Rhinolophus ferrumequinum: one gene and its partners. The protein of the gene in region 3 purifies or fractionates together with the protein of the main gene of each other region. This does not show direct contact. Links are inferred from orthologs where the notes say so. Each region holds a gene or a part of one and is shown on either strand. Other genes may lie near its edges.

Region 1 (3,745 bases), on a different chromosome or scaffold from region 3:
GTTTACCAAGCCCTTCTTCCTGCAACCAGATGGCAGTGGCCTCTACTATCTGTCTTTACATCCCCGAGGCCAGCAGGGAATCAAAGCGAGTCTCTCAAACACGGAGTCACTCCCTCTCCTCTAGTTGGTTAATAAAAAAGGGCAAATAAATTTGATTCCCTGAAACACACAACCCCAGAACTGCACTCTAACAGAAGCATGGGGTACAGCAGCGCCCTCTTCAAGATCCCTAATTATTCTGCTGTGAGCACATACTACCCGTCTTGCCCCTTTGGTGTATATGTGCCAGAGAACAGGATGTGGCCATCAACAAATGCAATTAGACGTGATAAAATCAACCTAATATTATATACGGATTATAACTTTAACTTAAAACACACCACACAGGGTGCAACTGTGTGTTCATACACTCTCTACCAAATGAAACCCAGCATGGAAAGACAGGAGCAAACGTGAGTGCGTGCCTGACAGTCGGGAGAGTGTAGGAGGCTCTCACTCAGCCTTTTTAGAGAATACTAAAACCACTGAACTGATGGAAAGGCGGAAAGCCTCTATTCTTTGGTTACAGACACATTTTTACTACCTCTAGTTGTTTCAGGCAGATGCAGTTTATCTGAGCCACATTTCCAGCTCTGTGCAATTAGTAAGTAAATAAATAAACAGCCTCTTCTCACTAAGGCTTACAGAACAACGCATTCTGAGAAACACTGAAGGACAGAACTGGGGTTTCCATGACTTTAAGTGATATGACAAAGTGTGGTAAGAACTACATAACCAATAAAATAGTCTACATTTTTAGATCCAAAAGCTTAGTTCTTGGAACAAGTTAAAAAAATTATTCACTATACTTTAGTGTTTCATGACAAACACAAAACAAGCTAAAGTAGGGTTCGTTTCATTAACCACCAAGATTTTTTCTGAGAAAAAAGTGGCCAAAACAAGCACTCAGCACTTTATCCATCAAAGTTGAATTAACTTCCTACACTCTCCACAAACCAGGTGCTCAGGGTCACACCACCAGTCACCCTGGGCCCAGCCCTCCATCTCACCCAACTCAGTGTGTTCTTCAACAAAGATATTAAAAATTGTAAGTTAATACCCTCTGAAAAGAAGAAAAAGTCAGTGATACCGTATAGCCTCATGCAGTGTTTGTCACCCAGTGTTTTAAGACTGAAAACCCAGCTGCTGAAGCAAATCACACACATTTCCATAAAAGCTATTATTAATAAATTTCTTTCATCTTTATCCTATTTCATGTGCTTTAAAAGTCTGAAAATACACAGTACTGTAGTTTGTGTCGTCCTTCTGAAATAAAATGGGAAAACTACAAAGAGTGTAGTGCTAGGCAAACATCTGTCTGTAAAACCAAGCAAACATACTTACATCTTTTGCCATGTTACCAGATCCGTGAAATCGATGCTATAAATGTTCACCCTCCAGAGAAGAAAAATGATTTTTCTGGTAAAGAGGGAAGGAAAAATAAATAAGTAAGAATAAAACCAGAAGTTAATATCAACATTTCCCCCAGTACCACCAGCAATCTGACTGCCCCTCCAGGCAGCAGGCACCTTCCATTCCAAACCCACACTGCATCCTCAAAGCGCAGCTGGCAAACCCCCACCCCCCAACCTGGGATTTTAAGTCATCTCAGCAAAGGGAAATGCATCCAACAATAGGATGCCCAGTCTGGCTCCCTGACGACCCCTGTCCTCCCCGATGCCCACACAAAGACCCGGCACCCGGTCGGGCCTGGCACCCAGCCTGCGCCCGCGCAACCTGGGCGCAACTAAGGACACCCGGCTACCCCCCGCCAGGCGCAGCACCGTTGTCCCTGCGCAAATGCGCACCCCAAGGAGTGCCTCGGTCCCGGCTGGGTCGCTCCCCTCGCCCACCCGGCCGGCCGGTAACTCTGACAGGTGGGCTTCCGGGGTCCGGCCTCCGGCCTGTCACTAGGCCGCGACCGCCTCGTCGCGAGCGCCTCCCGCGCGCCGGAACCGGCAGTCGGGCGGGCCAAGTCCGGGTCAGCGCCGCCTCCGCGCACCGCGGACCCCTAGACCCCCTGCGCACCGGCGGACCCCGACCCCCACCGGGTGCAGACGCCGGTGCTGCTGCTCCGCCTGAAGGCCACCTGCAGGCCCCAAGGGGGACCCGGGACCCCCGACCCCACGGCCGAGTCACCTGGGAGCCCCCGACGGCGGCGCCCAGGACCAGGGGCAGGAGGCCGGGGAGCCGGGAGGGGCGCGCACACGCGGCAGGGAAGGAGGACGGGGGACCAGTGGGCGCCCCGCGTGCCCGCGCCCCTCCCGGGACCCTAGCCCTCGCCAGCCCCCTGCCTGCCGCACCTGGCTGGCGGTGGGCGCACGGACACGCGGGGGTGGGCACGAGGGCGCGGGCGCGGGCTCGGACGCGCGGGCTCGGACACGCGGACACAGAGACGTGGGCAGTCCCGGCGCGCGCTCCGGCCCAGGGTCCTGCCCTGCGAGGCGCCGGGCGCGGGGCTCACCCTGCCGAGCGGGCGTCGGGCGGCGTGACGTGCGCGGCGCGGTGACGTGGGGGGCGGCCCGGCTCCCGCAGCGCGCCTGCGCGCGTTTTCGCGCCTTCGGCTCCCTCTTCCTCCTCCTCCTCCCGCCCGGGCTGCCCGCGCTAGACTCCGAGGGGGATGGGCTGTGCGTGTGCGCGCCGAGCAGGGATTGGCGCCAGTGCGCGGCGGTGCGCGCGCGGGGAAGAAAAGCCGGTGGGATGTGCACATGTGCGCACACGGGGACAGAGGCTGGAATGTGTGTGAACACTCGTGCGCACATGTGAGACGGGTCAGGGGTTGTGCACACGGAGGAGAGGAGCCTCGTGTGTGCACCTGTGAATATGCGCACACAGATGAGTGGGAGGCTGACTGAGAGTGTGCGCAGGTGTATATGCACACAGGAAAGGGAACTGGGTGTATATGCACATGTGCACGCAAAGAAGAGAGGTGGCCAGGTGTGTGCACAAAGGCAGAAGTGAACAGATTTTGTGGGCACAGGTATTATGTGCATACACAGCGGAGAGGGGGCTGCTCTGTGCACCTGCAGATGTGCACACATGAGGGATGAAGGGGGCTGTGTGGACACGTGGAGGAAAGTTCAGGTGTGTGCACACACGAGTGTATGTGTACTCGAGGAGAAAGACAGGCTGTGCACGTGGGTGTGTTTGGGTGAGTGCATGTGTATGTATGTGCGCAAGGACGGCAGGCTGCCCATGAGTGTGCAGGTGCGTGGAAGGTACGATGTGTGCGTATGCAGTGCAGAGCCCTGTCCACCTGCCTCTGCTGGACTTGGAGCCTCCACATCAACGCCTGGCTTGTGCCCAGATGATGGTCCTTCATGTAGTAGGGAGGTAAACCGGGCAGCAAGGTTGTTCCTTATCACTGCGTGGGCCTGGTGGACCCTTAGCCCAGGTGACTAGTGCCCCCTGGAGCCCACAGCCCCCAGAGGATTAAGCCCCAGAGGCTAGGCCTGGGAGTCAAGTCCAAAGTTCAGGGCTGCACCAGGCTGTGGTGCGCAGTGAGCCAGGGCATAATTAATGTCTCAGGACTTGAGCACAGAGCAAAGACCTCTCTGCATTACACCCCACCTAGCATGGTTTCACAATTTAACCACTTTTATGCTGATCACACCCATTCCGGCTTCTAATGCACCACTTAACGTGTTAACACCTTAATTAACATTGGTTTCTTGAAGACAGCAAAAATCTTCCCATTCTGCTGATT
Region 2 (3,745 bases), about 49 Mb from region 3:
CTAATGTGTAGGAATGTGAAAGCATGCTGGCGCTGGCGAGGCCCTCCTCTGCAAAACTGTCTCACACAGCGCACTTTATTTTTGCTTCTTTCCATCCTTACATTACCTTTAGCACATTATGTTTTTGCTTTTTCCATAATTACATTATCTTTAAGGCACTGCCTAAACGGCGTCTTTTATTAAGCTGGTTTATTGGGGGTGGGCGAATAGAAACGCCCTAAAATGTTCTCAGGTCCCAGATGAGTTAAGAAAAATAATTGAAGGCCCCTTTGGTGTCAGTGATACCTGGTAGGGGCGTGTGGACACGTGGTGGGCAAGAAACAAATTTAGGTCCTAAAACGTCTTCCAACTGCTGTGATTTTTGTTTTCTAATTATCAAAATACACACTCGTTGTCAAAAAATTGTAAAACTCAGAGAAAAAGGAAACAACTTGTAATCAGTGTGGTTTTGGGATGTAACCCGTTCCTTTTGGGGAAGCGATGGAGGGGAGAGAGGACGCATTAGGTCTTTGGCCAGGAACACCGGGCGGCGGGGTACTCGGGAGTTGTGGGTTCAACCGGGTTCGAAAAACCGACCGCCCAAGAGCCTGGGGAGCAGGGCCATTCCCACTGCGCTCCTTTTCCGCCACCTGCGCGGTGACTTGGCGCCTTCCCTGGCGTAGCTCCCGGCCTCCGTCACCCCCGCTCCGCACCGGTCCCCTACGCAGATACCCAACCCCGGCACCTTCCCCCGTAAGTGTCCACCGACTGAAAATAGGTCCCGAGTCCGCCCCCGACCCCCCTTCAAATCCTCCCCTTTAAACGGAGCCACCGGGTGACGCCGGGGGAGTTTGCGGAAGCGCCAACCGCGTTGGGGCCTTGGGCGGATCCCGTGATTGCAACTGGCCACGCCCCTGGGTCCTCTTCCCCCATTGTGTGAGCGACTCGGGCCCAGGCCCCGCCCCCTCACCGCCTCTCTCCCGCGGCCCAACCCCTCCCCTTTTTTTCACCCCCCCTTGGCTCATTTCCGGCCGCCGCTGCTACCGCTAGCCCGTAAGGAGGATTCGACAGAGGGAAGAAACAACAGCCGCCATCTTGTTTGTGTGCTAGGCTGGGGGGGAGAGAGGGCGAGAGGGAGCGGGCGAGAGTGGGCAAGCGGGACGTCGGACTGAGTGCGAACTGCGGGAGCGAGAGTGCGGAGGGGAGCCGGGCCGGAGAGAGGCGGCAGGGGCCGAGACAGTGGCAGGGGGCCCGGGGCGCAAGGGCTGAAGCGACCCCCAGCCCCCTCCCGCCCGCACACACCCCCACCGCGGCCCCGGAGCCGGGCCGGCGTCGACGCCTAGGGGGGACCATTACATAACCCCGCGCCCCGCGGCGCCTTCGCCCGCCGCCGAGGGCGGCCCCGAGCGGAGCCCCTGGGGGGCGGGCGCTCCCGGCACCTGGCCGCCGGGGGTGGGGGCCGGAGAGGCGGCCGTATTTATTTATTTTCCGCGGGAGAGGAGGGCGAAAGAGAGCGCGGCGCGAGGGGAGGCCGCCTGCACCACCCTCCGGAGCGGGGCCTCGTCGGTGGACTCGGCGTCGGCGCGGGCGGGCGGCACTGTTCGGCCCGGCCCCCTCGGCCCTCTGGGCCGGCGAGCTCCGCGCCCGGCGTCCTCGCCGCTCCTCCGCCGCCCGCCGCGCGATGTGAGGCGGCGGCGCCAGCCTGGCTCTCGGCTCCGGCGAGCTCTCTACGGCCATTAGGGGCCGGTGCGGCGGCGGCGCGGAGCCCGGCAGCAGGAGGAGGGTTCGGAGGGTGGGGGCGCAGGTCCGGGAGGGGGCACCGGGAGGAGGTGAGTGTGTCTTGTCGCCTCCTCCTCTCCCCCCTTTTCGCCCCCGCCTCCTTGTGGCGATGAGAAGGAGGAGGACAGCGCCGAGGAGGAAGAGTCTGATGGCGGCGGCGGAGCTCCGAGAGACCTCGGCTGGGCAGGGGCCGGCCGTGGCGGACTGGGGACTGCTCCTCTAGAGCCGCGAGTTCTCGGGAATTCGCCGCAGCGGACGCGCTCGGCGGATTTGTGTTCCTGTGCCCTCCTCCCGGCCTGGGCTCAGGCCCGGCCCCTCGCACTTGCCCCTACCTTTCTATCGAGTCCGCATCCCTCCACAGCCACCGCGACCCGGCGAAGAGAAAAAGGAACTTCCCCCACCCCCCTCGGGGGCTGGCGGAGCCCCCCAGGCCCACCCCAGGGAGCGGGGCGGGGATCCCGGGCTGAAGAAGAGATTTCCCGAGAATTCTCGTTTTCCTCGCCTGTATCTCCGAAAGAATTAAAAATGGCCGAGAATGTGGTGGAACCGGGGCCGCCTTCAGCCAAGCGGCCTAAACTCTCATCTCCGGCCCTCTCGGCGTCGGCCAGCGATGGCACAGGTTAGTCTCGGGAGTCCTCTCCTCCCACATCCCCTTTCATCTTTTCTGCTCGGTGGACCTTTATTCTTCCATATTTTCTTCGTTTTTCTCTCTTCCTAGTTCTCTCTCTCGATTAATTTTAAAGGTGTTTGAATGAGCTGGTCGAAGACGTCCAGTAGCCCAACCATTTTCTTTGCTTCCTAATACATTCGTTGCAACATTATGTCATATCGATATGTGTTCTGGAATTAGAGCTCTTGAGTGGTGATATAGAAATGGCACTTATTGTTTCCATGCAGTTTGATTTTGGATATGCCAATGCATTTGTGGGTAAGGGCTTTTTATGCAATTTTACTTTTAATTTTTTATTGTTGATAAATGAGGAATTGCGAATCCTTTCGCCTTGGTTGCACTTACTCTGTTTCCTCTACTTTCTACTCTTCCTTTTCAAGATTTTCTCTTTTTTGCACAAGATTTTCTGTTAAAGATGAAGGTGTAAAAAAAAATCTTGGTTTTATTTGTTAGTGGGTGTGATTCCAGGATTTCATGTTTGACGTGAGGTTTAACGTCAAAACCTGAAATTTGGTTTGAATGATTTTACCTACAATTCCTAGCTTTTTTTTTCCTTTGCTTTAAGAATCAATATGGAGCGCAGTTCATTTTACATCTTCCATTTCTTTGGTGTGAGACCAAAATGTCTGAAACTCTGGGTTTTCAGGTGGGAGAGAGCAGGGACATTTTCTTTGCAGTTCGTAGTCACTTTGTCTTGGGGGGGCAGTGGGGGGAGATACTGATTTTGTGGAGTGAAGTGCTTGGAAATCAAGATAGAAATTCAAAGAGTCCCAACCATGAACTGATGGTACACAACTTTAAAATGTGCCTTGTTTGTGTGTTTTTGCCTTTTTATGCTTTAAACATATTTGGAGATTTCAGTTTAAAAAAATCTCTACGAATTCTTTGTGGAATAGCCCTTTCACAAGAGATAGTCCGGGAGACTTCCTTCCATCATCTCTTTCTTACAGTTAGTTTGGTGCTGTCCTGATGACCACCGGCCTTCTCTTTTGCTGTCATAGTTGTTTGGGGTGCCAGGATAATGAAGAGGAAGAATGGCTGGCCATTTGACCGTCCACAAGATTCCCTCCCCCGCCCCCCCCCCTTACTACGGAGCATCTCTTGAACTCCCCAAGAACAAGCTCAACGTCATCCCTCCATCTGCCAGTGAGAGTACTTAATGGAGCTAAATGTACCCTTTGAGTTTGTAGAGAACTTTTCAGCACATTTCTAAGTAGGCTTCATCTTAAAGGGTGAAAATGTAAGGGTATGGCAAATGCTGTCGTTTCTTTGCTTTTATAAGAAAAATGTGTTACGAGTTTAAGATAATCAGCAAAA
Region 3 (3,745 bases):
GGGAGGAGTGGGCTGGGTGGAACTCAGGCATGCCTCCGTACCATCTCAGCAAAGATGCAGCCCAGACTCCAGATGTCCACAGCTGTAGAGTAGTATTTGCAGCCCAGAAGGATTTCAGGTGCTCGGTACCACAGGGTCACGACCTGGGCACAAAAGTAGGAAGGGGAGGGGTGGCGTATCGAGCATGGAGATTCCCACATCTCAGTTCCCCGATACTACCCTGCTAACTCTCAGCCTCCTAACAGACTTCTTTCCTTCCATCCTTACGTTCCCTCTGATCTCCCCTAAGTAAAATCATTACATATAACTTCTTACGTCAGAATGAGCATAGCCCATGGTTCTGGGGACCATATTTTATGAACCCCCAATTTGTGACTTTTCTGGAAAACTTGAGACAAGTGGTCATAATTTTAATAATGTGCCATCCAGCTCTCCTGGCTTGGTTTCTATCAAAGCCCAGTTAACCCCACAGTATGAACTCTGTGCATACTCTAAGACCTCTCGAGGTGTCAGAAATACTTTCCACCTAGTGAGAGAGAAACTGCTGTCCAAATACTTTTAGTTATTTTAGTGAATGTCCTTGTTAACACCTCCCAGGAAGAGCAGAGAGGAAATGCAGAGAGGGACTGACCTCGTGGGTGTAAGTACGAACGGGGACTCCAAAGGCTCTGGCTAGTCCAAAGTCTGCTAGCTTGATGGCCCCCTCTGCGTTGATAAGCAGATTCTGAGGTTTGAGGTCTCGGTGCAGGACGCGATGAGAATGGCAGAAAGCTAGACCCTGGAGCAGCTGGAACAGATAGCTCTGACAATGGAGAGAGAGAGGACTGTGTTTCTTTATTACACTGAGCAGATTAGGGTCTGCTCTGTGCCTCCAAAGCTCTACTAAAGCCTCTACTATGTTAGATTATAATTACATGTTTACAAGCTATTTCTCTCATTGGACTGTCAGCCCAGTGAGGATAAGAACTAGGTCTTACTTAGTTTTGCATGTCTTTTCCATTTCCTGTGCCTAGTACATTGAAGGTGTTCAATAAATGTGTGTTGAATAAACATTTGTTGACAGATTGAAAGTAGCTCAGGGAGTAAAGAACCCAGCCCTAAAACAGATAGACTCACTGGCTATTTTTCCCACCAAACAGGTGGAAGGGCTTTTTTGGAGGAATGTACCAAGTGCCCTCAAGTCCCATTTATCTGAGTTTCATCTGACCTTCTACCTGAGCTGCTAAGTTGACTCACTAGAGTTTCAACTTCTTTAATTCTCCTGCCCAGCCCTAGTGTTAATAAGCATAATGTGCAGTGAAAGAGCCATAAAAGAAAGGTGTGTGTGTGTGTGTGTGTGTGTAGAGGATGGAGGTCTGGGAAGGAAACCAAGATTACAAATCACCACTCAGTCTGAATTGCCTTCAGCCCCCCACCTCCAAGACATGCTTGTGTCAGGGAAGAGTTGATTAGAAGAATTACCTTGATGAGGGGAAGAGGAATGCCAGTGAGAGCAGAGGCATCCATGAATTTCTTGAGATCCTGGTGCAGAAACTCAAAAACCAGGTACAGTTTGTTTTCCGTGTGGATAACATCCAGCAGCCTAAGGAAGGGAGGTCCAGGAATGGAAATGAGGGAGAGAAATGCCCAGCTACACAGACAGAAGTCATCCTCCTTTACTGTCAACCACTTCCCAGGTATATACTTACTTGACAATATTAGGGTGGTTAAGTTCCTTAAGCAGAGAGATCTCTCGTATGGCAGTACTGGGTACACCCTCTGTCTCACTTGGAGAGGTTGGGAAAGCAGAGATGGGAATGTGGTTACAAATATTCCTTTTTCCCCAGCCCAGTCACTCTTTTCCCCCCAAGGAGACACCACCCCAGCATCCCCTAAGAAAGTGAGAGAACAAAAAGGGTGCTGTAGGAATTCATTCACGTGTGGACAGTAAGTCGCTTTGGGACGTATTAAGGTCATTATTTCTTTTTTTCCCAAGGGTAGGTAAGTAAAGCCTCCTGGTGAAGGGGAAGAGAGAAGGTAAGAGAAAAAAAAAAGGGAGTAGCAGCACCTAGCCTCCCTTGAGGGGCCAGTGAGGTTCAACTGCCATTCTTTTGAAAGAGGGACAGAATTCTAAGATGAGGGTGGGGTTGGGGCAGTAAGGAGGGCTCTTTATTCAGAAAGGTACTCTTCACCGGTTCCCACAAAACCCAACTCCACGGGGAGTCCTGGACCCTATGTCAAGAGGCCTCCTTCCTCTTCCTTACTGCACATTAGGGGGCATCACTCGGTTTTGGGGAGCAAATTTCCCACGACTCGACAGTACCCTATAATCTCCAGAGGGAAACCCTCTACAATCCTCCAACCCACTTCTCCCAATTCAAAAGAAGTCCCTCCCTGCTACCTTCCGGTCCCTGGACTGCTACCCGCCTGTTGGGGTGGGGGTGGGGGGCACTCAAGGAGCTCCCGAAGTAGGAGTCCGGGTATAGAGGCCACTCACGTGTCCAGGCGGATTTTTTTAAGCGCCACCACTTCTCCGGTCAGCTTGTTTTTGGCTTTGTACACAACTCCGTACGTGCCCTCTCCGATCTTTTCCACTTTTTGGAAGTTCTCCATGAAGCGCTAGAGAGTCGGGTCAGCCCGGCCCTGGAGCGGGGACCTGGGAACCCTGCAGAAAGCGGGCCCCCGCTCTCGGGGGCGGAGGAGGTAGAAACAGGGCCCCGCACCGCGGCCCCAGGTCCGGATGGAACGCAGTATAGTTCTTGCTCTTGTCAATTTGTCCAACTTGAAACAATGTTGCCGCCTCCCCGCCAGTTCCCTACCACCACCGGAGGCCCCGCCTCTCCTTCCCGCGTTTCCCTGGCTCCGCCCCTAGCATTTCCTATTGGTCAACGTCAAAGAGGACGGGGCTAACCCAGCGCCCCTCGCCGCAAATGACCCCGCCCCGCGCAAGTTCGGTTCTGTGCGGCAGTAAGACAAGTTTCTACCTCCGAGACTAAGCACTTTTTTTCAAGTACCTGATTTAGGCTCGAGTTTTCTACCTGTGTCCTGAATTTGTAGGGATTTCCTGATCTCTCCGTTTTCACAACCCTTAGGGAAAATGTCTATCGATCTAAGATTAAATTCCACCTGGCCCAGGGGTCCTCGTTTGAAAAGCAGGAAGCTGGGAATCTCATTGTAAGGGTTTCCTGGGCCTCGCAGGAGCCGTTGCTTCAGCCTCTCAGCCTACTCTGATGCTGTCTCTTTCTGGATGAAGGGTCTCTATTTCGGCCTTTTTAAGAGTTCCTAGTTTGACTAAACAGATTGATTCACTCTCCCATGATGAATGGTTTGCGTCTGGTACGTGTTGCCTTTCAGTCAATTAATTATTTTTCAGTCGAGATGAGAATGACCTACTGAAACCAGAAACTGAATAACGGGATGTCCAGGGACCAGGATCCCTTGTCAGTTCTGCCTTTCTCTGGTCCTCTTGCCCCGCCCAGGCGTCCTCTGGAAGGAGCGGAGGAAGGGCTATGCAAATGAGCACCCCTTTCTTATATAGGGGCTTGTCCTAGGCACCCCCACCCCCAGCACCTTTGGTTGCTGGAAGGAAGACAGGATGGATCGGATGCAGAGAAAATGCCTTCTCCATGTGGCTGTGATGGGTGCTCTTCTGGCTGTGGGGACCACAGAAGGTGAGTGTGGAGTGTGTGGATGTGAATAAATGTGAATTTGGGGTTGCACACCTCTGCTTTTCCCTCTTCTAATGGTACATACTGGCAACACTTCA

The links.
Region 1: the proteins of CDK2 (region 3) and TFDP1 purify together in Homo sapiens (co-immunoprecipitation; 4 studies listed by BioGRID and IntAct, with this or other methods). This does not show direct contact. The link is inferred for Rhinolophus ferrumequinum from reciprocal best matches to the Homo sapiens genes CDK2 and TFDP1.
Region 2: the proteins of CDK2 (region 3) and EP300 purify together in Homo sapiens (affinity purification with mass spectrometry; 3 studies listed by BioGRID and IntAct, counting the BioPlex papers as one, with this or other methods). This does not show direct contact. The link is inferred for Rhinolophus ferrumequinum from reciprocal best matches to the Homo sapiens genes CDK2 and EP300.

What each region holds. Positions count from the first base shown.
Region 1 is NC_046287.1:56,001,545-56,005,289, reverse strand, and holds the start of TFDP1 (transcription factor Dp-1), read right to left. Parts: upstream 2,530-3,745; 5' UTR 2,343-2,529; intron 2,332-2,342; exon of another isoform or gene 2,179-2,331; intron 2,113-2,178; exon of another isoform or gene 1,848-2,112; intron 1,459-1,847; 5' UTR 1,396-1,458; coding exon 1,384-1,395; intron 1-1,383. UniProt on the Homo sapiens protein: Can stimulate E2F-dependent transcription.
Region 2 is NC_046293.1:6,788,630-6,792,374, reverse strand, and holds the start of EP300 (histone acetyltransferase p300), read left to right. Parts: upstream 1-1,075; 5' UTR 1,076-2,283; coding exon 2,284-2,377; intron 2,378-3,745. UniProt on the Homo sapiens protein: Functions as a histone acetyltransferase and regulates transcription via chromatin remodeling. Acetylates all four core histones in nucleosomes. Histone acetylation gives an epigenetic tag for transcriptional activation.
Region 3 is NC_046293.1:55,368,910-55,372,654, reverse strand, and holds the start of CDK2 (cyclin-dependent kinase 2), read right to left. Parts: upstream 2,815-3,745; 5' UTR 2,593-2,814; coding exon 2,477-2,592; intron 1,767-2,476; coding exon 1,689-1,766; intron 1,583-1,688; coding exon 1,462-1,582; intron 803-1,461; coding exon 632-802; intron 144-631; coding exon 42-143; intron 1-41. Other genes in the region: melanocyte protein PMEL, read left to right, coding at 3,295-3,315, 3,518-3,650. UniProt on the Homo sapiens protein: Serine/threonine-protein kinase involved in the control of the cell cycle; essential for meiosis, but dispensable for mitosis. Phosphorylates CABLES1, CTNNB1, CDK2AP2, ERCC6, NBN, USP37, p53/TP53, NPM1, CDK7, RB1, BRCA2, MYC, NPAT, EZH2.